7 linked regions of the Macaca mulatta genome follow. The protein of the gene in region 1 purifies or fractionates together with the protein of each later gene. This does not show direct contact. Links are inferred from orthologs where the notes say so. Each region holds a gene or a part of one and is shown on either strand. Other genes may lie near its edges. The genes, in order: SMAD2, CTNNB1, SMARCA4, EP300, USP15, TRIM33 and SP1.

Region 1 (4,683 bases):
GTTTGGAGTGCTCATTTGGTACTTTCTGATTACTGATTTGTATTGCTAGTGCTTCTTTCCCGCTTATCTGAAGTCCCCAATTATATCTATAAAGTAAGCCATACATGAGAATGAATTACTGGACAGGCACCCCCAAAAAAACCGTGTTCTAGTCTTGTCTCTGGCACCTGTGTGAGACCTAAGTTTCTTTTCAACTTTAGTTCTACGGTACTCCCTGCCTGTGTCACAGTGGGTGCATAGTAAACACCTGATGTGATTAGTTGGGCTCAATATTTTGTCAGCAGAGACCTGGGTGCTCCTAAGGGTAAAAGCAACAAGGTTTTCCCTGGGTGCGGTTATGCCCTGGTCTGTGGTAAGTTTAGGGCCTTGCTGCCTCCTGTAGGGCAGATGCCCAAGCTGGGGCCTAAACGCCGCAACGGGAGAAAAGAGGAAGGGAAGATATCCCAGCCATTAGAGGACATTATGACATGCCTTTCTTTTAGACTTCACAGACCCTTCGGGACGTGGATTATTGATATCATTTTTACTGAAGACGGAACCAAGATTTAGGTTAAACACTTAGATCTGGCATCCCCTACCCGGGCCCTAAGTGCTCTCCAAAGACTCCACCTCTGGGCTTATTTACATCGCGAACCTACCCTCGTTCAGCAGCACGAGGGCCCCGCCCATTCATTTGCATAGGGCGCGCCCAGTCGCGGGACGGGTCCTCGGGCTTCTCCCAAACCCCCTTTCTCTCCTAGGCGCGTCCTCCGGGCTGCCCGGGGCCTCCCAGTGGGATGAGCACGTGTCCGCTGCCGGCCTCACGACGGACTGTGGACGAAGCGGCAGGCCCCCACAGGCCCTACCCCACGACGCTGGCGAGGGATCGGGCGGTCGCCGGGAATCGTCTTCCCGCGCGGCAGGGCGCAGGCCTTTCCCCCGCCGCCCCCGAACTCCGGTGGGAGCGCGCAGGAGTCCAACTCAAGCGAAACCGCGGGCGTCCAGCCCCGCCCGGCCGCGCCCCGCCTCGCCTCGCCTCACGCTAGACTGGGGAGGCGGGACCAATCAGCGAGCGACGTCTCCCTTCCGATTCGAGGCCCCCGATGCGCGGCTCACACCCCGAGCTCCCCGCGTGCTGATTGGCTGCGGGCGCCGCCGGTCCGGCCGGGAGGCGGGGCGGGCCGTAGGCAAAGGGAGGTGGGGAGGCGGTGGCCGGCGACTCCCCGCGCCCTGCTCGCCCCCCGGCCCTGCCCGCGGCCCTCGGCCTCGTTCCTTTCCTCCTCCGCTCCCTCCGTCTTCCGTGCCCGCCCCGCGCGGCTTTCGGCCGGCGTGCCTCGCGCCCTAACGGGCGGCTGGAGGCGCCAATCAGCGGGCGGCAGGGTGCCAGCCCCGGGGCTGCGCTGGCGAATCGGCGGGGCCCGCGGCCCAGGGTGGCAGGCGGGTCTACCCGCGCGGCCGCGGCGGCGGAGGAGCAGCTCGCCAGCCAGCAGCCCGCCAGCCGCCGGGAGGTGGGTGCGTGGCGCCGCGGCGGCCGGCGGCCGAGGGCGGAGGGCGGAAGCGGAGGTGGGCTGGCGGTGGAGGGCGCGGCCGTGCGGGCGGCCGGTAGGGCTGCGGACGCGCGCCTGAGGGGAGGAGGGGCAGCGCGGGCGCGCGCGTCCTCACCCCCTCCTTCCCCGCGGGCGGCGGCCAGGCTCCGTCCCCTCCCCTCCCCTCCCCTCCCTCCCCTCCCTCTACCCTCCCTCTACCCTCTACCCTCCCGCGCGCCGGGGCAAGCGGCCGGGCCCGGGCCTGGGGGCGGGGCGGGAAGACGGCGGCCGGGAGTGTTTTCAGTTCCGCCTCCAATCGCCCATTCCCCTGTTCCCCTCCCAGCCCCCTCCATCCCATCGGAAGAGGAAGGAACAAAAGGTCCCGGACCCCCTGGATCTGACGGGGCGGGACCTGGCGCCACCGTGCAGGTAAAGCCTGAGCGCCCGCGGGCCTCCGGCTAGGGGTGTGTTTGCGTGCGTCCGCGGCCCGGGCGATGGGCTGTGTCACATGGCCGCGGCGGGTGGGGGCTGGGGTGTGGTGAGTTCGGGGGCTGTGGGTGCGCCGGCCCGGGCGTGCGGGTTCGGGGCCAGAGAGCCGGGGAGGTACGGTGCTCGGCGGCCCGGCGCTGCCGCCCAGCCTGGCGGGGGTGGGGGCTGCCTGCGTCCCTTCCCCTCGCGGCTCTAACACTCCATAGTTTGTGGTTCTGATTTTTAAAGCCGAAGGGCCAGAGCTCTTGTTTCAGGAGTTGTGGGGAAGCCTTGTTAGGGGCGCGTAATACTTTGCCTCCACTTTTTTTTTTTTTGGTCCGGTAACCTTTGTTAACCATAGTAGTCTCGGGTTTTCCATGGCTTGTGTGTACTCACAAACACGCACACAGCTGATAACTGTGATCATCCTTCACTCACTTGTGAAAGTTCTGCGGGTGGAGCCTATTAGTTTTTATCACCCGCTTTTGGAAAAGCCCTCGAAGTGATTTCTTTTATTTCAAACTTGGTTTTCAAAATTGCAACTTACTTTGTTCTCTTGGAGGGGGATACTGTCCTTGGGTCAGGCCCTTTTTTGTCTTTTATTTATCCTTACGATTTCCTTTTGATCCTAAACAGAAAATACCTGGGTTGGTTTTGTTATTCCTTCCTCATAACACTTTAAAAGCAAAATACCACCAGTGTATTGTCAACCATATCTTTTAAAAAGAAATCTCCAGGGAAAACGAGTTTGCAAGCAGCATTTTCTATCAAAGTCATGTCTTGTTTGTTACAATTTGGACTATCTTAAATTTGGGTGTGTGAAACTTTTAAAATGTCATGTGTAAAATAATTGTTAATAAGTAAATAACTTGGAATAGTTACATCTTTTTAGAAATATCTTTGCGATGTGAATTTCCAAAATTCTTTTTCTCTCTTCTGACTTCATATGAATTGAACCTGATAGTTTCGTATGAATGAATCGCTGATAGGATGTTTTCCTTTAGCCTAATAATAAATTTGCTCTTATGCTGAAAATTTGCTATTCTACTTTAACCCCCGTTAAAAAAGTTTCTATCTTACAGAGAAGTTAAATTGTTAAATGGAGTTTCAACAGTTTTAATACATGAATTAGTGAAGCAGAGATGGAAGAAATAATTTAAAATGAGCTTCATAAATATACCATAGTTTGAGGGTTTTTAAAAAGTTTGCCTTCGGAAAACCCATACAAGATATTTAAAGAATTTCCTCTGCCAGAAGGTCATTTAGCAGACGTTTATATTAAATTCAAAAGTAATACTTTTATTTTTAAAGTTCCTTACCCTTTGCCGTAAACTGAGCTTTGGTAGTAAATATAAATAGTTCACATCTTTTGGCATTTGTAAAGAGTGTACCCACTTTTACTATAAATACTAAATTCTATTGGATTTAATTGAGTTCAAGGCAGTTCACTGGCCAGGTTTAATGTAACGTGATTGGAAACGTTGATTTTGGGGGTTTTAGTAAGAAAATGCTCTTAGAGCTTGGTTTTTATACTTAGCCACACCTTCTTAAGTGCGGCCACAAGCATTGTAGGTGTTCAACAAAAGTTTGGTTTTTCAAGGTTGTAACCTACGTTTACTTAGTCATAAGTGGTCATGTCTCTACACAGTCTGTACGCTTCGTGAAATAATAGTCTTTTAAGAAACTGTGCAGGGTAATTTCTTGTTGTTTGTGACTTACCAGGCTTGGTATGTGTTTTAACTCTGGTGTAGGAATATTGGGGATGGTTTTGTGTATTTCAACAAAACTTCTCTTTGATAGAAACAAAGGTTGTTTCTATTCTACTTCAAGATGGCCAGAGGTGGTTGTCACCTTTTCATTTTCACATTGTAAATATTAGAATCATGTTGCTATAATCTGGTTACTTCACCTTTGGGGGAATATATGTGAATGGAAAAGCTCAGTTTAGCTGTGTAAACTGTTGGGCAAAGACCTATTGAATTTTTACATTTTGCAAATACTGTCAGTTTTAAAAGACTTTCCTTATTCTTTTTTGGTTTTGATTCTGTTGGTTTTGTGCTTTAGGGCTCCAAAAACCTCCTTTTGTAGCAGCTTTAAATACAGGTGTTTTTGTAATGCATATAAAAGCTGTATTTAGTGCAGCCTGGCAGATGGAGATTTATTCATATTCTTGGGACAAAGAGTCATTTTTAGAGGGTGGAGGGGGACATGTCTTTTAGATTCCTAGCCTTTTGATGGGTGTAGAAGAGTCATTTTTAGGCCCATAGTTTCTGTAAGAGGTAAGATGTTTTCCACTAAGTATTCCAAAGGTATGTCAGAAAATGTGAAACGTAAAGAATTTAAAACCAGTTTAGGAGAGGTTGTGCATTTATTTTCAACAAATAACTTGTATTGAGCAAGTAGCAATAAACAGCTTTCTCTGTGTGTCAGGCTCTGGACTAGGCAATAAAGTATCTTACCAGCAAACAAGTACACCCCTGTTCCTTAATGGAGTTAGAAAAGTGGAAACTCATGTCCTTTGCCCAATTCTCCAGTGTTCAGAGTAAGACAGTTGTTAGTGTACAAATCAGGGGCACATGCATTACTGAGCCATTCCTAAAGTATGCTTGCCTTGCTTCCTATCACATGTAACGGATAGCACTAGGGAAGATGTGAAGTGTTAACTCAGTGTCACTGGGAACAATTGTCACCAGTTTTACACAGCTTATAC
Region 2 (4,046 bases), on another chromosome or scaffold:
CTAGCTACTGGGGAGGCTGGGACAGGAGGATTGCTTGAACCCAGGAGTTAACAGACTGCACTCAGCAACAGAGCCAGACTCCAACTCAAAAAAAAAATAAATAAATAAAGGAGAGCAAATTACCAGTGAGTGGTGTGTTACTTGGGTTTTTAATAGGCATCTTATTAACATGTTCCAACTTGAGCCCTTAACTTTCTCCACCTACCCCCTTCCACAAACCTGTTTTGACTGTCTTCTCTGTCTTGATGTCAGCTTTGTCTGTCCAGCTGCTCAGGCTAAAACTTTTCTTTCATACAACACATCCTGTCAGCAGCTCCTGTTTGGGGGTAGGCATTTTGCCTGTTTTTTTTTTTTTTAACTGCTATATCTCTAGCACGTAGAACAGTGCCTGGCAGCACATAGTTGGTGCTTAATATGTATTTGTTGAAAGATCAAGTCAGTGAGTATTTTTAATGTGAGGTGCAAAGAGAAAAAAATGTATCTTTGAGGGGTGGAGTTTTGAAGAACTTCCATTTTCTAAGTATTTGTGTAATGTTGGAGTTACTTGTTTCCTTTGTAATCTGAAAGTATGCTTTAAAAAAATTAGTGTACTTTTAAGTTGAGAATTTTCATTTTGCTTTTTATTCTTTCTTGCCTTGTGCCTGTTTATCTAGACTGCGGATCTTGGACTTGATATTGGTGCCCAGGGAGAACCCCTTGGATATCGCCAGGATGGTATGCGTCTCATATTTCTCGATTAACTCCAGATCAAGCTAAAGTTCTAAAACTTGATCAGAAGAGCTGGTTTGCTCATCTGGGAAACTAGTGTTGGCAGAAAAGTAATGGCTTCAATTAAAAGCAGTTCTTAAATTCCAGTCAGCAACAGTATCTTTAACGGAGCACAGGGAATTCAGAGCCACACAATGAATAGCAATAGGATTACACCACCAACAAATACATGCTACTACTAGGCCTCTGCAGTGTAGGATGTTACAGTTTACCTGGCTTTTTATTCTCTTTTTGGCCAGAGGACTCATAATACCTTTTGTCTACAAGCTACCCAAGGAAGACAGGAAAACTCCTGTCTCTAGGCTCAGATCTGGGGTGGGTTTTTACATAGTTGCATTATCAGGGTTTTCTTGAAAAGCGAATTCACATCTGGGTAATGAACATAGAGGATGGGGTAGACCAGTAACAGTTACAACTGTCTTACATTTATAACCTCATCTGCTTCTACCTAATTATGAAACCACTAAAGCGCAGATTCTTACTGTGACAAATAACATGTCAACCCTAAGATAAAATATGTTGAGGTTTCATTGAAATAGTGCCTTAACTTTCCTTAGTACTTTTGTTGGTGTCACTTGGACTTTTTGTCAAGATAGATTACACCTGCCAGACCTCATTATTGTCTTAATCCTCCTTCCCATGAGTTCTCATTGCCTAGGTGGTCACACAGTAGATTCCTGCTTCTCCTTCTTGGGAACCCCAAGTCTGACAGGGGTAAATGCAGTGTGTTCAGGGTTAGACTAATGATGTGACTAGGCCCTGCTGGTGTGCCTCTCTGATGGAAACAGACGTTATTTGTGTAGTCTCATGGGTGGTCTGGCACTGAGTAATTACTTGGCTAAAAAAAGCTAGAAGTTGAAGAGGCTAGAAAGCATTGTTTTCTGACAAGTTTGCTGCTGAACTTTGGATGCCCTAACCTCAGTGTTAATGTCTATGTCTGTTTCTCTCCTCTCTCTTTTGCCTTCCTTCTTGCCTATTTTGTTCATACCCTGACTCTTCTAGATCCTAGCTATCGTTCTTTTCACTCTGGTGGATATGGCCAGGATGCCTTGGGTATGGACCCCATGATGGAACATGAGATGGGTGGCCACCACCCTGGTGCTGACTATCCAGTTGATGGGCTGCCAGATCTGGGACATGCCCAGGACCTCATGGATGGGCTGCCTCCAGGTGATAGCAATCAGCTGGCCTGGTTTGATACTGACCTGTAAATCATCCTTTAGGTAAGAAGTTTTAAAAAGCCAGTTTGGGTAAAATACTTTTACTCTGCCTACAGAATTTCAGAAAGACTTGGTTGGTAGGGTGGGAGTGATTTAGGCTATTTGTAAATCTGCCACAAAAACAGGTATATACTTTGAAAGGAGATGTCTTGGAACATCGGAATGTTCTCAGATTTCTGGTTGTTATGTGATCATGTGTGGAAGTTATTAACTTTAATGTTTTTTGCCACAGCTTTTGCAACTTAATACTCAAATGAGTAACATTTGCTGTTTTAAACATTAATAGCAGCCTTTCTCTCTTTATACAGCTGTATTGTCTGAACTTGCATTGTGATTGGCCTGTAGAGTTGCTGAGAGGGCTCGAGGGGTGGGCTGGTATCTCAGAAAGTGCCTGACACACTAACCAAGCTGAGTTTCCTATGGGAACAATTGAAGTAAACTTTTTGTTCTGGTCCTTTTTGGTCGAGGAGTAACAATACAAATGGATTTTGGGAGTGACTCAAGAAGTGAAGAATGCACAAGAATGGATCACAAGATGGAATTTATCAAACCCTAGCCTTGCTTGTTAAATTTTTTTTTTTTTTAATATCTGTAATGGTACTGACTTTGCTTGCTTTGAAGTAGCTCTTTAATTTTTTTTTTTTTTTTTTTTTTGCAGTAACTGTTAGTTTAAGTCTCTCGTAGTGTTAAGTTATAGTGAATACTGCTACAGCAATTTCTAATTTTTAAGAATTGAGTAATGGTGTAGAACACTAATTCATAATCACTCTAATAATTGTAATCTGAATAAAGTGTAACATTGTGTAGCCTTTTTGTATAAAATAGACAAATAGAAAATGGTCCAATTAGTTTCCTTTTTAATATGCTTAAAATAAGCAGGTGGATCTATTTCATGTTTTTGATCAAAAACTTTATTTGGGATATGTATGGGTAGGGTAAATCAGTAAGAGGTGTTATTTGGAACCTTGTTTTGGACAGTTTACCAGTTGCCTTTTATCCCAAAGTTGTTGTAACCTGCTGTGATACAATGCTTCAAGAGAAAATGCGGTTATAAAAAATGGTTCAGAATTAAACTTTTAATTCATTCGATTGTGTCACTCTTTTTTTTTCTTGTCATTAAATGGTGAGGGTGGTAAGTTTATCCAACTCAACTTTATACTGAGGAAGATACATAGTGAAGTAATTTGTTATAGCGATAGAGAGGCCCTTCTCTAGATGCAATTTGCCAAGTTTCTTCAGCATTTGGCCCTGGGTTACATTGCACCCCCAAAAACGTGTTTCAGCCTTGCACATTGTGATTAGTTCTGGGCTTTTGTGGGAGAAAGCCAAGCAGACTGTCTATCATCTATCTCTCTCTACCCCAATCTCCCCGATGGTTTGATTCCATTAAGGTAATGAAATATTAACTACCTGGATTTGGATTTGAATCACCTTCACACAAGTGTGACTCATTGGGAGAGGGGAATTCCTTCAACTCTACTTTGAACTAATAATTAAATAGGTTTAAGTGATGATGTTTATCTGAACATAATCAGAACCAGAATGAGCCTTCCACACTATCTATCTGCCAGATGATCCTATCAGTCATCCTGGTGGTAGGTCTTACAAGCTTAGTTCATCTCTTCAGGTAGACCTGTTAAGACTTGTTTTGGTCTTCTTATAAAAAGTGAAAGTGTTTTGTCTTTAGGGAGAGCTGTTTCTGATTTACTGTTTTTATTTTGATTGATTGATAGTGACTATTATGAGAAAAACATACATTCAGTTCTTTTTCATGAAAAATCAGCTTCATCTGGGGAGGCCTTTTTGTGAATGCCCTTGCTTTGCAAAAATAAATTCTTCATTGTGGTCTAAAATGTAATTAGGGTTTGAAAAGAAACATTCACATAGCTGATGAGGTGGTAGGTCTCAGGTTCTGTCTCATGTGTGATAAACCAAACCAGCCAGTATTTCAAGAAGCCTAGGGCTATTGGTAGGTTAACACTGTGAAGATCTTCAGTGAATTCAGCTTTCAACATAAAGAGCCACCGCAGGGTGTTTCATTTACAGAACTTTTTAAAA
Region 3 (4,049 bases), on another chromosome or scaffold:
CGCAGTAGCCACGGGATGGGCCCCGTGTCAGCTGAGGGAGTTTTGAGGCTCACAGAGGTGAGACCTGGTTCCAGTTCTGTGTGCATTTTGAGAGTGGCAGGGCCCACAGCCAAACCAAGCACTGCCACAACGCCACCAGGCTTTGGCCACATCCTGTAAATGGTGCTCAACTGTGCAAGTCCACGCTGTGGGGAGCCATGCCGCTGCCACAGGAGCTGCTTGGGAATATAACCCCCTGGGGGTTGGTGCTTTCTTCCCGAGTATCTGTTGGGTCCCAGTAAGGTAGAAGGTGGCACTTCTGGAGGAACGTGATGAGAGCCCCCTTCCCCCCAGGGACACATGGGGCCCAGGCTCCACCAGCTCTGTCTTCGTGCAGCGGCAGATCAGGCTGGGCAGAATTGCCAGGCTGAGAGTGGTACTCACAACACACCTGTCCAGCTAGTATCGGAGGCCGCCTTCCCTTTTATGACCTCCTGGGCTCCTTTGGGATTGACTGGCACCTCCTCCCCCAGGACCTGCAAGCGCAGGACCGAGCCCACCGCATTGGGCAGCAGAACGAGGTGCGCGTGCTCCGCCTCTGCACAGTCAACAGCGTGGAGGAGAAGATCCTAGCCGCGGCCAAGTACAAGCTCAACGTGGACCAGAAGGTGATCCAGGCTGGCATGTTCGACCAGAAGTCCTCCAGCCACGAGCGGCGTGCCTTCTTGCAGGCCATCTTGGAGCATGAGGAGCAGGATGAGGTGAGCCCAGCGCCGGCCCCGACCCCTCCCCAGCGTGAATGGTGGACGCATGAGCGGCTTTCATTTTTGTTTTTTTACCTTTTTTGCACTCTTATTTTTTTTTGCATCCCTTTGGAGTAAAGGGAGTGTGGGCTGAACGGAAAGAGGATGAGTACTTGCTTTTTCTTTGAAGTGGTTTTTTTTTCCTAAACTGCTGGTAAAAGACGCCGGATTGACAGCCCTGGAGACTGAAGTCCTCTATTTATCCACAGAGCAGACACTGCAGCACGGGCAGCGGCAGTGCCAGCTTCGCCCACACTGCCCCTCCGCCAGCGGGCGTCAACCCCGACTTGGAGGAGCCACCTCTAAAGGTGAGAGGGGTAGTTCAGTCTCCATGCCCATTCAATCCTCGGCTTCTCGGCTGAGACGGCCAGCAAGGGCCCTGGTCCCACGGAGCGTGCGTGTGCGTGTGCGTGTGTGTGCCTTTCGCTGCCGTGTGGGTCCCCATCCACCGCAGCCGTGCCGGGACCACCAGCTCATTCCCACGGACGCCGCCGCTCACCTCTGAGCTTGGCAGCCGCCCACCCCGGCCCCTCCGCAGCGGCGCTGACAGTTTGCAATCTTGTAGGAGGAAGACGAGGTGCCTGACGACGAGACCGTCAACCAGATGATCGCCCGGCACGAGGAGGAGTTTGATCTGTTTATGGTAAGCACTGCGGGCTGGACAGGATGGTTCAGGCATCCCACCGTGCCGCCACCAGGAGCAAAGCAGAGGTCCTAGTGCCCATGGTGGTGTCCCCAGCAGGTCAGGGAACTGGGGACAGCTCACAGTGCAGCCCACTCATGCCTCCAGCCTGACCCTTCTTCCACCCCCAGTCTCCTGAGCATGGCGTCGGAGGGCAAGATGCACACCCAGCCATTCTGTGTGTGACCCTAGACCTGCCCCACCGGCTCTGTTTTCTAACGGGCTCTTCAGGGCTTCATGCACTCCCTTTCAGAGGGAGTTCGCCGTATCCAAGGCCAAGGGACTGACCAGACCTTCAGTTGCAGAGCCCCCTCGCCCCTGGGTGGGAAACAGGAAGTAAGGCAGCCAAGCAGGGGCCTCTTGGCCCGCAGGCCGTATGCCTCCACCGGCGCTGTGCCGCGCAGCTGCCGCCCTTCTGCTGGGGTCTGCAGCCCTCTTGTGCAACCTTCTATCTTTTCAAGTTTCCTCTACCTCCCGAGGCAGAGCCCCTAGTCAGGGTCGGACGTAGCCAGGCCGGGTCAGCCACCGAACAATGAAGAGCTGCTGTTTAACTCTTGCAGCAGCATGGGTCCCCACGGGCAGAGAAAGGCCCTTCTGAGCCCGGCGCTCTGGCTCTAGTGTGCCCCTGGTGCCCGCATGCTGATGCCTCTCCCTTTGCCTCCCTACCCACCAGCGCATGGACCTGGACCGCAGGCGCGAGGAGGCCCGCAACCCCAAGCGGAAGCCGCGCCTCATGGAGGAGGACGAGCTCCCTTCGTGGATCATCAAGGATGATGCGGAGGTGGAGCGCCTGACCTGTGAGGAGGAGGAGGAGAAGATGTTTGGCCGCGGCTCCCGCCACCGCAAGGAGGTGGACTACAGCGACTCACTGACAGAGAAGCAGTGGCTCAAGGTACATGCCGGAGAGGCCCGGCAGGCCCCGCAGGCCAGTGCCAGGCAGGGCTGGGGAGACAGAGGGCCCACCGCCAGGACTCAGGCCTGGGTCCAAAACGCTCCCCTTGGGCCACTCCTGGCCAGGCTCCGCGGACAGCCGAGAGCCTTCTGTTTTGGGCCAGGGATGGTTAGGTCCTTCTGGCTCCTCCTCAGAATGCAAGGAGGACCCATAGTTCCTGAGTAGCTCAAAACCTGCTGCTGGGTATGGTTGGTCTTTCAAGTACAAGGGTTTACCTCCTCCCGAGGTTAAAAATCATGTCGCTGATCTCAGTGGAGTGCTGGCTTTCCCAGTACCTGCCAGGAGGGAGGCACAAGGGTGAATCATGGACTATTGAGGCACCCTGCAAAGCGGTGCATTGCCGGCTCCAGGAAGCCTCACTTTGGGCAAGTCCCCCCCATGTGCTGGGGAGACTCAATCACAGGAAGGGAGGAGCGGGTAAGCCCCCAAGGGCCTCTGAACCTGGCAGGCGCTGCACAGGGCTGGCAGCTGCTTGTGGAGCTGACGTGAGGGCCATTTCTCAGCAGATGACACCTGGCCCTGCAACAGCAGCTACAGATGTCTGAGTCAGTCATGTGGTGCTCCTGGGACCGCCCCCGACCCACCCTTCCCAGCCTAAGGCACACTGTGACAGGTGCCTGGCACTGACGTCCTCACTGGGGTTACGGTGACAAATCAAACCCCTTCCCATCTCAGGGGCTCTGAGTTACGGAGATGATGATTCAGACTCCATCCATGAAGTTGTGTCATTAAAATGTCCTGAAGTAACAATTCCGAGAAGGCAGGTGGCGGCTTTTGGCTATGCTGTACAAAGTGCCATACCCAGGAATGAGCCATGTGGCCCAGCGCATGTAGCCAAGCAGCCCCAGGCTCCTCCTGGGACCTCAGCAGCCCAGACTCATGAGCTTGCCTGCCAAGCTGTGCACCAGAGGGCGCTGTTGAAACACACCAGGAGCCCAGGTCACAGGCCATCCTGTTCCCCAGCCAGCCTCCCGAGCAGAGCGCTCCGGGACCCAGAAGAGAAACCCTGAAAAGCCGGAGTGTGAGCCCTGCCGCAGACCTGTGTGACCGCAGAGCTGTCTGACTGCTGTATGAGTGTCACCGGCCCTGCATTTTTTTCTTTTTCAATAGAGACAAAGTCTTGCTATGTTGCCCAGGCTGGCCTCCAGTTCTTGGGGGGCTCAAGTGATCCTCACACCTCGGCCTCCTGAGTAGCTGGGACGACAGGTACACACCACCACGCCTGGCTAGTTTTAAATTTTTTGTAAAGTCAGGGTCTCACTGTGTCACCCAGGCTGGTCTCAAACTCCTGGGCTCAAGCAATCCACCCGCCTCGGCCTCCAGAGTAGCTGGGATTACAGGCATAAGCCACCACGACCGCCTCAGCCTTACATATTTGAGGCAGTGAGTGCCTTTTAAATTTAAGATCAGTTCATATGCGGATGCTCTATGTACACATTTTTCTAGGTGTAATTTACATACCATACAATTCACCCTTTTAGGGTATATGACACAGTCATCTTCAGTGTATCCAAGAGTTGTGCATCTATCACCACAGTCCATTTTAGGACATTCTCGTCACTCCCAAAGAAGCCTTGCCCCGATTTGCCATTTCCTGTTAATTCATTGATTCTCCCCAGCCCCAGGCAACCAC
Region 4 (2,898 bases), on another chromosome or scaffold:
TCGTGATCCACCGGCCTCGGCCTCCCAAAGTACTGGGATTACAGGCTTGAGCCACCGCGCCTGGCCTCCAACTAACTTCTTAGTATGCAGTTATTAAACAGGAGTGTTCCCCTAGCTTCTTCTTTTTTTGTTTTTAAAGGATGGAGTCTTGCTCTGTCGCTCAGGCTGTAGTGGTGCGACCTTGGCTCACTGCAACCTCCACCTCCAGAAGTCTAGAAATTCTCCTGCCTCAGCCTCCCAAGTAGCTACAGGTGCCTGCCACCATGCCCTGCTGATTTTTACATTTTTAGTAGAGATGGGGGTTTCACCATATTGGCAAGGCTGGTCTTGGAACTCCTGTCCTCATGATCTGCCCGCCTTGGCCTCCCAAGGTGTTGGGATTATAGGCATGAGCCACCGTGCCTGGCAAGTCTTGTTTTTTTCAAGAAGTTACTTGGGACTTAGGCAGGTATGATCCGTTGTCTTAGGTCCTCCTCCTCATCCCTGTAAGATGGTGATTAGAAGACCATGTGGTCATCCTTAAGCGATCCTGTATCAAGGTGTTAAGTAGGTATCACTTCCACCTTGACTGTTAGCTGGTACCTGCAGTACTTTTTCCCAGAACTTTGGACAAATTAACCAAGATCTACTTGTGAAAAACTGTATGTAGTAAAGAGGCTATAAGCTAATGCTTTCACTTTTTCCTCTGAATCCTAAGCACCGGGCACTTAAACTGGTGCACACCAAGACAAAGATGTGTTATCAAGTGAAACAAAGTCAGGGTGTCTGTCTCACACAGTTTATTTAACAATAGGTAATAAGAAATCAAATTTAACAGTCTATACAGTGATCCAAAGTTCATATTTATAAGTAATCAACTTTAATTGCATGATTTACAACAGTTGAGGGTTTTTGCTCTCTATTTTCAAGTTTTATAGAAAGTGTGTGTGTGTGTGTGTGTGTGTGTGTGTGTGAGTGGGGGTAGGGTAAGGAAGAAGAAAGCAAGCAAAGAAACCCCCAGGGACATTTTGCATGTTAAAATCATCCCACCGGAATCGTTTCTTACCCTCTTTTTAATTTTTTTCCTTTGTTAGATGTAAAAATAACGAAAAAAATTCTTTCAAGAAACAGAAACCACAATATATAATACATCAATTTGGCAGCTGCCCCTGTATATTTTTGAAAAAGTCATTTTTCTCTCTACATGTACAAATTATTTTAATACTTGAAGTTTTACGCTCAGACTTACAGAATAGAAAATTTTCTGGAGCACAAAAGTTGACTTGAGGGGAAGAAAGGGAGTTTTTTTTTTTTTTTTAAACGTTTTTTAAAAGAATGAACATCTTTGCACCCAGAGAAAAAAAATTGGTATTTTAATATATATTTATATATATTTATATATATATATAGAATGTAATTTTAAAGTAACATTAACCCCTTTTGTCCTCTGGTTTTAGAAATGTTTTAACTCTTCCATAAAGTGAGGAAAATAGGGAAAAATGTCAACCATCTGCACCAGTAAATAATAACTATTAATATTACATATTTTCATTAATTTAAAAAAAATAATAAAACCTATTGGAGGTGCAAGGCAGGAGCATATTGTTTGGCTTCACAGGCCTCAGCCTCCTCCCAGTGCACACTTGAACCACACACACAAGGGGAAAAAAAAGGCTGGTGGTAACCAGCCATAACAAAAATATATTCTTTGTATTCTATCATCCCTCAGGTTCATCTTGCATGTTTGCTTTAAACCACAAACGGCTACTGCACAGTTCTTATATGTTCCAAGGAAAATTGTCTTTTAGGCTATGAAAGATTCAAAAAAATTGTTTTCAGTACAAAAAGTCTTAAGAGAAAATAATTTTTGCTCCCAAAATACTACAAGGTGTCTCTAGTGTATGTCTAGTGTACTCTGTGAGAGGTTTGAATTCAAGTCTGAGTTATCGGTGCTGAGTCCCAGGTCTGTGGCGCTTGCACCATGGAGGTTTGCCATGCCTGGATTGCTAGCAAGCTGAGAAAGCATTGAATTCTGGTCCGGGCTGGCAAAATGCCCTTGTTCCATGGGGTTGGCCTGGGCAGCTACCAGTCCAGGATGCGGGGAACTTGTCTGTGGGGAAACGTGGTGTGGAGAAGGCTGAGGCTGCATCCTTGGAGAAGGGCTGGAGTGGGGGGGCTGGGACTGTGGCCGTGGAGAAGGGACAGGCTGCGGAGAGCGCACTTGATTGGAGAGAGAATTAGGGATCTGCTGGCCTTGTAGGTGTGGAGACTGGGCCTGATTTGGGAGCATATGCTGCTGGGGGCTCATGGGGTTGGGCTGAGCAGGAGATCCCATCTGTTGCTGAAGGAGTCGCTGCTGATAGGCCTGTAGACTGGCACCTGCCTCTGCTCCCAAGGCCTGGGGGAGCTGGCCCATCTGTCCCATATTTCCTTGTTGCATCTGTTGCATGTGATGTTGCATCCGCTGCTGCTGCTGTGGTGGGTAGCCAACTCCTTGGGGTTGCTGGAACTGGTTATGGTTAGCCATTCCTGGGCCTATTCCTGGCCCTGCTCCCTGTTGCTGCTGCTGTTGCATCATCTGTTGTCGTCTCAAGATGTCTCGGAATTGTGAAGGCATGGTGTTGTGGTTCATGTTCATCTGCTGAGACTGGGGGCTCATCCCTCCCATGGGCGGCTGGAGTTGCTGCTGGGGTTGCTGCTGGGGCAGGCCAGCCCTCTGGACGCCCGCCTGCATTGGATTCATGTTCTGCATGGCTGGATTGGAGTGGACCCCCTGCTGACCTGGCATGGTAGGTGGCTGCAGCCCTGGCTGCCCCTGGGGCATGCCAGGCTGCCCAGGGATGGGTTGTGGATTAGAGTTGGCATACTTGGCAGCCCGCTGCTTGATGAATGCAGCCAACAGCTGGGGGTTGGCGTGAA
Region 5 (4,049 bases), on another chromosome or scaffold:
ACTAGAATCTTGATGGATTTATAGAAGTTAGTAAGGCCAAAAAAAAAGTACATTTCCAAGTAGATGGAGTAATGTTGCAAACTTTCAGAGTGAGAGAACATGTGGAGGAATGACTAATTAAATAAAGCTGGAAGAGTTGAAAAGAAAAGAGTATTGACAAAGGATGAGGCTACATAGATGAGCAGAAGACAGACCCTTCTAAGAATCTGGGCTTCCAGTCTGTAAGCGGGGAGAGCCATAAAAGGATTTACAGCAAGGAAGCAACATGATGAGATGTACATTTTAGGGAGATCACTCTGGATACTATTGGAAAGCTAAAAAATGTTCAGTTATACCTGTAAGCTCTTTCCAGGATAAGAGTATGTGTGAATAATTCAGTAATAACAAAGTTTAAGAATTACTCAGGTTTGCGCAACTTGGTTCTTTTGAGATATTTGTAAATTAGGTTCTTTATATAATTGCATTAACAGACAATAATGGAATGTTATATTCTTAGCATAACCCTGAGCTGATCAAATATAAGAAGTGGAAAACTATTGGTAATTGTTGGAAATTCCTGTCTGACCTCTCTTTTGTCTGACTATTTAATGTTGATCATATTTTGTACTAAATCAGATGATACTAAGTGATGGCATTTACCATTCTAAATTGCCTGGACCTCCCTCTAGTGCTGGGTTTATAATTAAAAGGACATATACTACAAAAGAAGAAAAGAAACTGAAACTCAAAAGGAGTATAAGATTATGAGATAGGTTGAGATCTAAGAGGTAGAAAGTTAGGGAAGCATCCTTTCTCTTAATTGCCTCCTACACTGTAGCATACCTTTGTTTCTCTTGCTCACATATATTAAAAAGTTCTACTGCTGAAAATATGTATATGACTCTAAAGGCCTATATAGCTCACTCCAAACGTTTTAGCTGTTTTTATTATTTTAATTGCCTAAGAATAATATAATCGTAAATTCCATGATATAACCAGTTCTCCCTTTTGCCGTGAGGTAGGGGCCAGGCTAGCAATTTATAATAAACATTATTATTTTTATTATATAGAAAGTTTCTAAATAGATATTATTGGCTACTTCAGTAAACATGTTGATTTATAATTGAAACCACGAAATTGAGTACCACAATTATTTTTAAAAACTAAGTAGACAGTGACTGCATATTTTGAAATTTTAGCTAAACAATGCATAGTATATAGTCGTAGTTTATGGCATATAAGTTATCTGTATGAATTCAACAGACTGAACTTTTCATACCTACCAAACCTATCTAACTTAATACAGATGACTATAAGCAAGCTTCAAAAAACTTTGATTTCCATTAATGTGAACCCAGGCTCTCATAAAAGTGAGTTTCTACTATTTTCCATGCAAGCAGCTAGCTTCCTTGCAGCACCTTGCCACTTAATTCCAACACAAATATCTTCCTACAGCAAAAAAAAATTTACTTATGTGACCATATGTCTGTGTTAGTCATTGCATATTATAGACATCTAGTTGATAATACTGGGTTTGTATTGAGGTCAAATCATATGGATCGTCACCTTAAAATTATTCCAACTTGAGATAAAATGTGGAAAAATTGTACTTCTGCCATCTGTTTTATATTAAATATGAAATTATTTAATTCAGAATTGGAAAGAGACAATTAACTTGTTTATAGTTTTTATTTTGCCATAAAGGAAAATTGCATTGTTTATGACATTAAAGAAGAGCTGGAAGTGAGAACACACTTACCAGAGTTCACATACTGAAGTTTATTTTCTCAGGCTCAAGTAATCTGTACTGTCTCTTCTAAAAATGGTTGACCAAAAGGAAGGTTTAAAGGCTGCTCTTTCATGAGAAATAATTGACAATGGAAGCAGTAAATACCTCTATTAAGTTAATTTCTTGCTTGCACTCTATCTCAGTTTTTACCTACTCAGGCTAATTTGCAGGTGCCTGGGATGAGTAGACAATCCATAATTTCTACCAATCAAGTAAAAGAAGGAAAGAAAACTGAGCTTCTCTCCCAGTTACCAGGTAGTTTGCTGTGGTTAAAATTAATGCAGACTTTACAGCAGCAGATACTAGCATTTTTATTTATTATAAGTAATTATTTTGAAATTTGGGAAATGAATAGTTGAGTACATCATTTGAGTGTTTATTTGACCAGTTATTAGTGCAAGGAACCATCATTTAAATGTTCTCTATGTATTATAGCAAATCAATTTGTTTCTCTCTTCTTTTTAATGTGTTTTAAGAAAAATGAAGTATGGTTACTTTTACTTGAAAATATGTTTTATTTTTTGCAGTGTTTGAGCAACACACCTCCACTTACTGAGTATTTCCTCAATGATAAGTATCAAGAAGAACTGAATTTTGACAATCCCTTAGGAATGAGAGGTGAAATAGCTAAATCTTATGCCGAACTGATCAAGCAAATGTGGTCTGGAAAGTTTAGCTACGTCACCCCAAGAGCCTTTAAGGTAAGTGTGATAAATGCATTTTAGCAAGGGCACCTACAAGGGTACAAAGGTTGGTTCTTGGGGTAGGGGGAGTGAAAAATAGTAGCTATTACAATGGTTTGTGGCCCTCCAAAGGAATACAGTACATAAATAGATATACAATATATCTGTGGTATAAAATTTAGGTGGGAGGGATATGGAAGAGTTTTATCCGTTTTGTTTTTGTTTTTGTTTTACGTCTAAATCTGGGATGGGGAGAATAATGAAAAAAAGTTGAAAAACACTGGTGTGGTACAAGAATGATTATGGAGACAGCAATGAGCGTTTGTATAGTTGTTTTGGAATATAGTACATCTCTGGAAAACCTACGTGAATATTCTATACAAATGTGAAAGACTAAATTTGGGCGTTACTGAACTCTTAAGAACCCATTTTACTTTGAGAGTCATGAATTTGAAAAATTATCAAAATGAAAATTGTCTGCAAACCAAGCACTAAAAATTAAGTGTACTTTCAATATGGTTCTTAAACTTTTAAGGTTATTCACATGTGTGAATTGTTACTTATCAAGGTATTTATTGTTCAAATAAGAACTGAGCTGAAATTAAGCTTTATGGCTGAAATTTAGCTTTATGTTGTTAAAAAAATTCCTACTTAACTATATAGGTGAAACTTTGAGAAATTTTAAACTTGTAAAGAGAATAAGCAATTTTAAGTTGTTATTTATACAAGTAATTTAAATGGCATTGATATAGGACATCTACTAGACAACATTTTTTATTAGCTATATACTAGTTCTTAGAAAATAAAAAACAACCAGCAAATCAAAATACCTCTGTATTTGTCTTCCTTAACATTCTAAACTTTGGACATACTAGTCCAGACAAACCATCTCTCAGCTCTTTCCCATCTTTCTAATTGGTTTTGTTTTGGTAGATTTTCTGTCTTGAAATTATGTGTAAATAGGTTCTTGACTTATGTGAGTTTTTTCTGTCACATGATGATTCGTACTATTAGATTTATTTTCAGTCTCATCCAAAAAAAAATAGTGATGCAAAGATTTGGAAAATTGAATATGAACATTAATGTTTCTGTTCTCTCTATAAGACTCATCCTCCTTTTGCACATAAAAACTAAGTGAGAGCCTAGAGTAGTTATCTTAAAAATGCTTTCAGATACGTGATTATCTTTATGTGGTAATACAGCAAGGATGAGAACCTGCCTCTTACTATCTACCTACCAGACATTTACAGGAGGAGGCAATAGGAATACCTAAAGCTAAGAATTAAGAACATCTGGAAAATCCTTTGACAAATAGTGAAACAACAATTAATGACAATGAAATCTATGACCAAAGATCAATACATTTTTATATATAAGGATTACATGTGTTGATCTGTTTTATCCCAGATAAGCTTTGTTGAGTGCTTACTAGGAATGCAAAACAAAATATAATTCATATATATTCCTGTTGTTCATGTATACAATTTTTATTATTCACAGGAGTGAGTCCTTAACACTGAACTCACAGCAAACAGCACTATAACTCATGTCTTAATGAAGCATATCTAACACATACTTTTTCTCTATAAAGCACATCA
Region 6 (4,049 bases), on another chromosome or scaffold:
TTTGGGAGGCCGAGGTAGGCAGATCACCTGAGGTCAGGAGTTGCCTGGTCAACATAGTGAAACCCCATCTCTACTAATAACATAAAAATTAGCTGGGCATGTTGGCAGGCATCTGTAATCCCAGCTACTCAGGAGGCTGAGTCATGAAAATCGCTTGAACCCGGGAGGCAGAGGTTGGAGTGAGCCAGGATCATGCCACTGTACTCCAGCCTGGAGGACAGAGTGAAACTGTGTCTCAAAAAAAAAAAATACAAAAATTAGTCGGTCATGATGGCGCATGCCTGTAATCCCAGCTACTAGGGAGGCTGAGGTACAAGAATCGCTTTAACCCGAGAGGCAGAGGTTGCAGTGAACCAAGATTGTGCCACTGCACTCCAGCCTGGGCGAGGGGGAGATTCTGTCTCTGAAAAAAAAGAAGGTATATATACATGTGCTTGTGCCTGTAGGTATGTGTGTGTGTGTTCTAGGTTTTGACCATGAAAAAACAACTGATTTACTTTTGGCATTTTAATACATGCCAAAACGGTACAAGATACCTGAGAAACTCTGTAACCCGTGCTCTTCTTATTCATAAATACTGAGTCTACATAATGGTGATACTGGGACCTGGGAGAGTTGGTCTTAGGCCTTATGCTGCAAGTACTGCTCATCACTACTTAGAGACCCCCTTTTAATGCAGAGATGCCATTTTTATAATGCATTCCAGAAAGTAATCAATTGATGCGTGACTAGGAAAGTTTAGAGGAGTTTTTAATCACATGACTTCACCTGATGAGATTTCACAACTATAAAACCTCCCTTTTTCCAAAAAATTATTAAGAAAATAAACCAGGGCCCTGTCTAGGGAAGTAGCTTCTCTAGAGCAGGCTTTTTTTATAATTACGTGGACTAATTACCTATTTCCCTGTCTAGTGGGGACTGGATATGCACATTTTGTAGAGATATTGGAAAGCCAGAAGTTGAATACGATTGTGATAATTTGCAACATAGTAAGAAGGGGAAAACTGCACAGGGGTTAAGCCCCGTGGACCAAAGGGTAAGTGTCAAATAAGTTGGTTTATCACTGGGATTCAGTAGTGGTCTGCCTATATATACATCTTTTTTTTTTTTTTTTTTTCCTGTGTAGCATACACAAAACCTGGTAACATTTAATTTTTAATCCTGTCATCTGATGGTATATTGATGATCTCTGAAGTCTTTTTTTCTCTAACCCTGAACTACAGACCCTTCTATCCGGATTCCTCAAACTTAAGATGTCCCAACTAAAATCTTAATTTCTAATCCTCTCCTTCCAAACACAAAACCAAGCAAATAACAACATAAAAAAGTGTATTCCTCCCCCAGTATTCCCCTTAATTGAATGATACCACCATTCATTTCTGTTGCTCAGGTTAGAAACCTATTAGAAATGAAATAATAACAACTATAATACCATTTTCTCACCTTTTCCCACCATTACCATTCTAGACAGACATCGTAATTTCTCATCTGGACTATTGTAATTATCTCTTAACTGCTCTCCTCGCTTCTGCTCTTGATCTTTATAGTCTGTTTTCTGTATTAAACAGCGTTCTTTTAAAAAGTAAACAAGTCTATCATTTCCTTGCTTAAAATTCTCTGATAGCTTCTCATCATATTAAAAATGGAAACTCTTTCCTTACTTTACTCAGAATTTTACCAATCTGGCCTGTAGTCTGATTTCCAAAGACAGAATCTTTTGCATTGTCATGCGGTCATTAGAGTTAAGTTTGGCTCTACTCTGGTGTATATAGTTGCAAAAACCCTCATCCACTATCTGTGAAGACAAGATACGTGTTTAGGGTATACAAACTTGTATGACTTGTATTAAAAGAAGTTTAGATAAATAGAAGACTGTGAATGTAAAATGCATCTCAGTTTACTCATGATTGGGTAAAAACACGTTTCTGGAGTTAGATTGAGAAGGCCATTTTTATTTTGAACCTGACTGGAGTCATTTGAAGAAAGGGGATAATAACTTTCAACATTTATCTTGCCTGTCTAAGGAATTACCATGAGGAGCAACAGTGATGATTTATTTACTTATTTATTACCAAGTAATTTATAAATTTTTGCACAAAGTGTTAGATGTTGCTTTTGTGACTCCCTTCCATAAATTACCTTAGTTATCTTCCATTCTTATTTAAAGTAGAACCAAAGATAGTCTGAAAACAAAATGAGAAGCACAGGAGTTTTCTTTGGGTGTTCATATTTACTTGAGTATCTAATAAACAGGGGGCTTGTGTTCAGTTTGTTGTAATCAGACTTTGTTGTGATATAGTTCTCATTCTCGAGAATGTTTTATTAGGAGAAAAATGTTTCATGTGCTTTCCTTTCCTTGTTTGGGCCAGAAATGTGAACGTCTTCTGCTTTACCTCTATTGCCATGAATTAAGTATTGAATTCCAGGAGCCTGTTCCTGCTTCGGTGAGTTGCCTACCTTAGTAGCTCAGTGGGGGAAGTCTCATAATACTTAAGGGTATGGGCTCTGGCGGTTGGGCGCGGTGGCTCACGCCTGTAATCCCAGCACTTTGGGAGGCTGAGGCGGGTGGATCACGAGGTCATGAAATCGAGACCACGGTGAAACCCCGTCTCTACTAAAAATACAAAAAAATTAGCCGGGCACGGTGGCGGGCGCCTGTAGTCCCAGCTGCTTCGAAGACTGAGGCAGGAGAATGGCGTGAACCCCGGAGGCGGAGCTTGCAGTGAGTCAGATCACACCACTGCACTCCAGCCTGGGTGACAGAGGGAGACTGTCTCAAAAAAAAAAAAAGAAAAAAGTATATAGGCTCTGGCCTTACACTAAGCTTGTATTACACCTCAGCTTTCTGGAATAAGCTCCTCAACCTCTCTAAGACTCAAGTTTTCTGACACCATTTCTTACCTCATTGGGTTGTTCTGAGGGTTATATAAGATAACCTATGTAAAGTGTTTAGCATAGTCTATAGTCATTGACTTTTGTAAGGGATAAAGGCTCTAAAATGCTACAATAAATGGAAGATTAGAGGTGTTTGGTGCCTAATAAGTGGGATAAGAATATTCTACACACATTTTATTACTAGCCATCAGTTGTTGAATAGTACATTATTACATACCAGGCCTGTTAGAGAGTATTAAATGGTAGTTGACTTGTTTACTGAGTAGCCTGAGAAATGAATTTTAAATCACAAAAGGCGTAGACGGAAGATGTTTTGTACAAGCAGTAATCATCTGTTTCTGGAAAATTGTCTCATCTTCAAGTGCAGGGATTTTAAAGTAGAAAATGACTTTCAAATGTTTTCTTTTTATGGGCCATTAAAATAGCTTCTTGGCCAGGCATGGTGGCTCATGCCTGTAATCCCATCATTTTGGGAGGCCTGGCCGGCAGATCACTTGAGGTCAGGAGTTCAAGACCAGCCTGGCCAACATGGTGAAACCCCCTCTCTACTAAAAATACAAACATTAGGCGGGTGTGGTAGCGCACGCCTGTAATCCCAACTGCTAGGGAGGCTGAGGCAGGATAATTGCCCGAACCTAGGGGATTGGAGGTTGCAGTGAGCCAGCATGGCGCCACCGCACTCCAGCCTGGGCGACAGAGCAAGACGCCATCTCAGAAATCAATTAATCAATCAATAAAATAGCTTCTCTAACTTTACTTTTATCCCAAGGGTAGAAATTTTTAGCCAGGGTTGGGGCCAGAATTCCCTAGCATGAACACTAAATGATTAATAAAGTTAGTAAATTTTTCTTACGTGCTAACAGTCTTGCTTCCTCTGTTACTAAGTCAAGATTTCGTGATGTAAATGATATTATCTGTGATGTCTTCCAAAAGACATCATATTCTAATTGTAACATTAATATATTTTATAAATTTTCTTTTTAAAAAAAAAAAGAAAAACTCTTGAGGAGTCATAAAATTCTGATAAGTCAAATGTTGCCTCAAGGCTACTGGTTGGTTACCCTTGCTAATTGCTTTCTTTCCAAATCTTACTATTAAAAGTAGGACTTTGGGGGCTTGGACTAACCATGAAGATTGGCACATATTCTGCGTAA
Region 7 (4,704 bases), on another chromosome or scaffold:
GTTGCTGCTGTGTCTGCTGGTTTTGCTCTCCTTCTTTTTGCTGACCTGCTTGCAGTGAGCCTCCAGATGTCTGGTTTTGCTGGATGTTCAGAGCATCAGACCCCTGTAGCCCACTGACCCTCTGGGGTGTCTGGCCTTGAGAGTTGGTCCCTGATGATCCACTGGTAGTAAAGTTCATAATTCCCATGTTGCTGGTGGTAGTAGTAGTTGAGTAGCTATTGGCATTGGTAAAAAAGGAGCTGGAACTGGCTTGTGATGACACCAAGCTGGCAGAACTGATGGTAGTCCCTGAGGTGACAGGCTGTGAGCCGCTCTCCTGGGACCCAGAGCTGCTGATGGTGACTGCCTGAGAGCTGGGAGTCAAGGTAGCTGCAGAAACGCTGTTGACAGGTAGCAAGGTGATGTTCCCATTCAGGGCCACTGGTACATTGGTCACATACTGAGTCTGTCCTGAGAGTACATTATTAGCCAGGCCTTGGAGGGGGACAGCCTGCTGGAGTAGATTTGGCATAGCAGCAATGATGTTGCCTCCACTTCCTCGATTTGTGATAATCTGTTGGTTTGCACCTGGTATGATCTGTATTTGACCAGAACCATCCTGCTGCACTTGGGCCCCAGTGGCAGCAAACTGCAGCTGTTGCCCATCAACGGTCTGGAACTGTGGGATTACTTGATACTGAATATTAGGCATCACTCCAGGTAGTCCTGTCAGAACTTGCTGGTTCTGTAAGTTGGGAGTGGCAGCCACAACATACTGCCCACCAGAGACTGTGCGATTCTTGGAAGACTCACTGCCATTGCTGCCATTGGTACTGCTGCCACTCTGTTCCTTTGAGGTAGGGGTAGCCCCAGAGGAGGAAGAGATGATCTGCCAGCCATTGGCACCCTGTGAAAGTTGTGTGGCTGTGAGGTCAAGCTCACCTGTTCCCCCTGACTGACTCGGGCCCTGGGAGTTGTTGCTGTTCTCATTGGGTGACTCAATTCTGCTGCAAGTTGCTGCCAGCAGAGCCAAAGGGGATGGCTGGGACTCCTGGCCAAAAATAAGGGAGAGGAAAGGAGTTAGTGACACCCAGCTGCCAGCCTAGGGGGCAGTATACAACAAATAAACAGCAACGTAGTGCAGACAAGGAGCAAAAAACAGAAACAAAAAGCTGACCTATCTGTATTGCTGAAACTCCTGTCTTTGGGGATCTCCATACTCTTACTTCTTATCTATAAAATGGTTTTGATAAGCTCCCTAAAAAGCTTTCTATGAAGAGTAAGGCAATTATCTAAGAATATTTACATCCTCTCAACATCTTCCCCACTCTATTATTATCACTTACCTGCCCTCCTCCTCCTCCACTGCTGCTGCTACTGCCTGTGCTGCTACTTCGAGCCTGTGAAAAGGCACCACCACCATTACCACTGCCCCCATTATTGCCACCAACTCCTTTTTCAATCTTCACCACAGCTGTCATTTCATCCATGGAGTGATCTTGGTCTAAAACAATTAAAAAACAAACAACTTAAACTTGAGGGAAGAAAAGAGATGAGGTAGGAAGGATAAAAGGAGGCTATGATGAAATAGCAATGACTAACAGGAAGGCGAAAGGCGCCAGTATAAAGAAAATGGATTGGAGGGCAGAGGGGAGCTGCAGGGCATGCAGGACATGAACTAGGCTCAATGGTGCCAAAAGTGGGCCTCAATTCTCCCTTACACAAAATTAACTAAGAAAACATTCAAAAAGTGCTTTGGGGATAGGAAATGTGAAGGATGGTAGTCATGCTGAAAGAGTTTCAAAATAAGAAAAAGTATCCTAAGGGAAAAAAGGACAAGTAAGGCAAAAAACAATATGTGGGTGGATGGAAAGATTGCTAAAATTAAGGTTAAAAGAGATGGAGAGGCCAGGCGCGGTGGTCATGCCTGTAATCCCAGTACTTTGAGACGCTGAGGCAGGAGGATCACCTGGGGTCAGGAGTTTGAGACCAGCCTGACCAACAAGGAGAAACCCCGTCCCCACTAAAAATACAAAATTAGCCGTGTGTGGTGGCGCATGCCTGTAATCCCAGCTACTCCCGGAGGCTGAGGCAGGAGAATCGCTTGAATCCGGGAGGTAGCAGTGAGCCGAGATCGCACCATTGCACTCCAGCCTGGGCGACAAGAGCGAAACTCCCTCTCAAAAAAAAAAGAGAGAGATAAACAAAAACCCAAGTATTAAAAGTAACAAGAGGAGAAGGGAAAAAGAAATAAAAAGTTTTAGTAGGAAAACATTTGTGAATACTACTAAGGAACTAAAGGGGTGTACTGGTTAGTAGTCAGGAGGTTTCGGGGCGGAGGGCGGGCCCTGAGGGAAAGGGCGGTTTCGGGGTGAGGGGCGTGGAAAGGGCGGGACGGTGGGGCGGGGGGAAGGGAAATCTACGGAAAGTGGGGGGAGGAGGGCGCCGGAGCAGGCGGCGACCAGAGGACGGACCAGACAAGCGGTTGGCCCGGGCGGGGCCTTCACTGCTCGGGCCGCCCCCGCGGCTCCAGCCCCCGGCGGGAGGAGCCTCAGGCGGGCGGCCGAGTAGTGGGGGGTAAGGCCCGTCCCCCGTGGCCGGGGCGGGCAGGGGGCGGGCGAGGCCACGCTGCCCCCTCCCCCGGGGCGGGCGGCCCATCCCCCTCCTCCTCGGAGGCCCAGCCACTGCCCCGTCTCCCTCCCTTCCCTCCGCCCCGGGCGGGACCTAGGCCGCCGCCGCCGCCTCCCGCCCGCCCCCCCTCACGGCGGGGATCGCCCGGTCGGCCCTCGCGCGCGCCCCCTCACTCGCCTCCCACCCCTAAGCTTGGAGTGGACTCATCCTTACCGCTCATGGTGGCAGCTGAGGGACAAGCTCAAGGGGGTCCTGTCCGGGGGGGTTGGGGGGGGCCGGGAAAAACGCGGACGCTGACGAGGCAAGCGAACCCGGACCGGACAGGGAGGGGGGGGTGAGGAGGAGGGAGCAGCGCGCCACCAGCCCAACCTATGCCCCGCCCCTTCTCTGCTGCCCCGCCCAATGAGGGAGGGGGAAAGGTGGGACTTGCAGAAGAAAGACGGTGAGGTTTTCCAATGGCAAGACTCGCTTGCTCTCTAAGGCGTGTAAGACTAAGTTGCGTGCCTGGTGTCCGCCCAAAAAGACAGCCCTCTCAGTGTTAAAAGCCAATGAAAGATGCAGGAAGTGAAGATGGGCGGGAGCTGGGGATTATTGGCTTGGAAGGAAACCAGTCAACCGGCAGGCGGGCTCCCTGAGACATTGGGATAGGGAAAGGTTTGATAGGAATGACAGAACAACGGCCAACTAGAATCCGGGATATGCTTGGGCAAAATCCTAGTGGGAGGAGAGGTAAGAAGTAGACAGGAATAGGATAGGCTGAAGCTGATTAAAACCAATCAGAAATCAGGCGGGCAGCCAGGAAAGTTATGATTGGATTAAGACTGAAAAAAGACAGGAAAGGACGCATATTGACGTGAATTAAAAGCCAATTAAACGCCAGATTAACTCTGAGGGCGGAAACTTGGAGTGGCAGAGGAGAATTGGCGGCTCCCTAAGTTATTCAATCCAATGAGGGAACGAAGTAAGCCTGGCACCGCCTCCTAGTTGGCCAATGGGCGTTACCGGAGCCGCCCATCATGAGGGAGGGAAGAGGGCTGTGCCAAGAGGAGACCGTCGCCATATTGGCCCACCTCAGGGGACGTTGTTACAGTCATTAGGTGGGACGCTTTAGTGAAGTCTTGCAGCTCAACAGGTGTCAGAGCCAAGGCATTCGGCGCGCAGTTCCGCATCAACACTAGGATTTGTTTGAGTCTTCATTTAACTGCCCCTATAAAGTACCTCTCAAATCTTACCCGTTTCCCGGGTGGGCGGACAGGCGGGCAGATACCTCAATGTCGCTGCAAGCCCTGCGAGTGCAGCCGGAACGGGATTTGGGGACAGCGCTCACCAAATAAGTTAATACTGAGCTGACCAATATGCAGAGTCTCCGTAAGATTCCAGAAAACGCCATTTTGTTAAGTTCCGCCAGACAAAGGCGCTAACCACTTACGACTGGTTAACTTTTCAAGCTTTGAGGCTAAAGTGCGGATAAGTCACTTCCATTTTTCCGAGTTAATAGTAAATACCGCCTATGCATAAAGCAAGATAGTTGAGCTCCTGCTTTTTGCAATCACGAAGGTTAAACTTTACTGCAGGCACCTGGATTTCTGGCCTCCTCTTTATCCGTGTTTTGGTGGAGCCGGCCTTGATAGCTTGTCAATGACACGATAAGGTCATGTCCTTCAGTATTTGTATCTTAAATGTTGTCGCTTGCTTGTATGTTCTTATGTTTTAAAATCTGAATTCTCCTATACTATTTTAAGCCCTTTGGAGTTAAGAACTGAGGCCTTGGCCGGGCGTGGTGGCTCAAGCCTGTAATCCCAGCACTTTGGGAGGCCGAGACGGGCGGATCACGAGGTCAGGAGTTCGAGACCATCCTGGCTAACACGGTGAAACCCCGTCTCTACTAAAAAATACAAAAAAAAAACTAGCCGGGCGAGGTGGCGGGCGCCTGTAGTCCCGGCTACTCGGGAGGCTGAGGCAGGAGAATGGCGTAAAAACCCGGGAGGCAGAGCTTGCTGAGATCCGTCCACTGCACTCCAGCCTGGGCGACACAGCGAGACTCCGTCTCAAAAAAAAAAAAAAAAAAAAAAAAAGAACTGAGGCCTCTGATGC

Evidence for each region.
Region 2: the proteins of SMAD2 (region 1) and CTNNB1 purify together in Homo sapiens (affinity purification with western blotting; 5 studies listed by BioGRID, with this or other methods). This does not show direct contact. The link is inferred for Macaca mulatta from reciprocal best matches to the Homo sapiens genes SMAD2 and CTNNB1.
Region 3: the proteins of SMAD2 (region 1) and SMARCA4 purify together in Homo sapiens (affinity purification with mass spectrometry; 3 studies listed by BioGRID, with this or other methods). This does not show direct contact. The link is inferred for Macaca mulatta from reciprocal best matches to the Homo sapiens genes SMAD2 and SMARCA4.
Region 4: the proteins of SMAD2 (region 1) and EP300 purify together in Homo sapiens (affinity purification with western blotting; 4 studies listed by BioGRID). This does not show direct contact. The link is inferred for Macaca mulatta from reciprocal best matches to the Homo sapiens genes SMAD2 and EP300.
Region 5: the proteins of SMAD2 (region 1) and USP15 purify together in Homo sapiens (affinity purification with western blotting; 4 studies listed by BioGRID). This does not show direct contact. The link is inferred for Macaca mulatta from reciprocal best matches to the Homo sapiens genes SMAD2 and USP15.
Region 6: the proteins of SMAD2 (region 1) and TRIM33 purify together in Homo sapiens (affinity purification with western blotting; 7 studies listed by BioGRID and IntAct, with this or other methods). This does not show direct contact. The link is inferred for Macaca mulatta from reciprocal best matches to the Homo sapiens genes SMAD2 and TRIM33.
Region 7: the proteins of SMAD2 (region 1) and SP1 purify together in Homo sapiens (affinity purification with western blotting; 3 studies listed by BioGRID). This does not show direct contact. The link is inferred for Macaca mulatta from reciprocal best matches to the Homo sapiens genes SMAD2 and SP1.

What each region holds. Positions count from the first base shown.
Region 1 is NC_133423.1:44,427,507-44,432,189, forward strand, and holds the start of SMAD2 (mothers against decapentaplegic homolog 2), read left to right. Parts: upstream 1-1,755; 5' UTR 1,756-1,934; intron 1,935-4,683. UniProt on the Homo sapiens protein: Receptor-regulated SMAD (R-SMAD) that is an intracellular signal transducer and transcriptional modulator activated by TGF-beta (transforming growth factor) and activin type 1 receptor kinases.
Region 2 is NC_133407.1:104,579,559-104,583,604, forward strand, and holds the end of CTNNB1 (catenin beta-1), read left to right. Parts: intron 1-653; coding exon 654-714; intron 715-1,770; coding exon 1,771-1,979; 3' UTR 1,980-1,991; exon of another isoform or gene 1,992-2,296; 3' UTR 2,297-3,075; downstream 3,076-4,046. UniProt on the Homo sapiens protein: Key downstream component of the canonical Wnt signaling pathway.
Region 3 is NC_133424.1:11,772,233-11,776,281, forward strand, and holds part of SMARCA4 (SWI/SNF-related matrix-associated actin-dependent regulator of chromatin subfamily A member 4), read left to right. Parts: intron 1-512; coding exon 513-740; intron 741-991; coding exon 992-1,090; intron 1,091-1,347; coding exon 1,348-1,425; intron 1,426-2,137; coding exon 2,138-2,356; intron 2,357-4,049. UniProt on the Homo sapiens protein: ATPase involved in transcriptional activation and repression of select genes by chromatin remodeling (alteration of DNA-nucleosome topology).
Region 4 is NC_133415.1:10,336,781-10,339,678, forward strand, and holds the end of EP300 (histone acetyltransferase p300), read right to left. Parts: coding exon 1,874-2,898; 3' UTR 763-1,873; downstream 1-762. UniProt on the Homo sapiens protein: Functions as a histone acetyltransferase and regulates transcription via chromatin remodeling. Acetylates all four core histones in nucleosomes. Histone acetylation gives an epigenetic tag for transcriptional activation.
Region 5 is NC_133416.1:69,672,300-69,676,348, forward strand, and holds part of USP15 (ubiquitin carboxyl-terminal hydrolase 15), read left to right. Parts: intron 1-1,938; exon of another isoform or gene 1,939-2,023; intron 2,024-2,295; coding exon 2,296-2,469; intron 2,470-4,049. UniProt on the Homo sapiens protein: Hydrolase that removes conjugated ubiquitin from target proteins and regulates various pathways such as the TGF-beta receptor signaling, NF-kappa-B and RNF41/NRDP1-PRKN pathways.
Region 6 is NC_133406.1:125,857,104-125,861,152, forward strand, and holds part of TRIM33 (E3 ubiquitin-protein ligase TRIM33), read left to right. Parts: intron 1-912; coding exon 913-1,036; intron 1,037-2,369; coding exon 2,370-2,444; intron 2,445-4,049. UniProt on the Homo sapiens protein: Acts as an E3 ubiquitin-protein ligase. Promotes SMAD4 ubiquitination, nuclear exclusion and degradation via the ubiquitin proteasome pathway. According to PubMed:16751102, does not promote a decrease in the level of endogenous SMAD4.
Region 7 is NC_133416.1:60,525,452-60,530,155, reverse strand, and holds the start of SP1 (transcription factor Sp1), read right to left. Parts: upstream 2,870-4,704; 5' UTR 2,831-2,869; coding exon 2,824-2,830; intron 2,320-2,823; exon of another isoform or gene 2,123-2,319; coding exon of another isoform or gene 2,041-2,122; intron 1,484-2,040; coding exon 1,326-1,483; intron 1,031-1,325; coding exon 1-1,030. UniProt on the Homo sapiens protein: Transcription factor that can activate or repress transcription in response to physiological and pathological stimuli.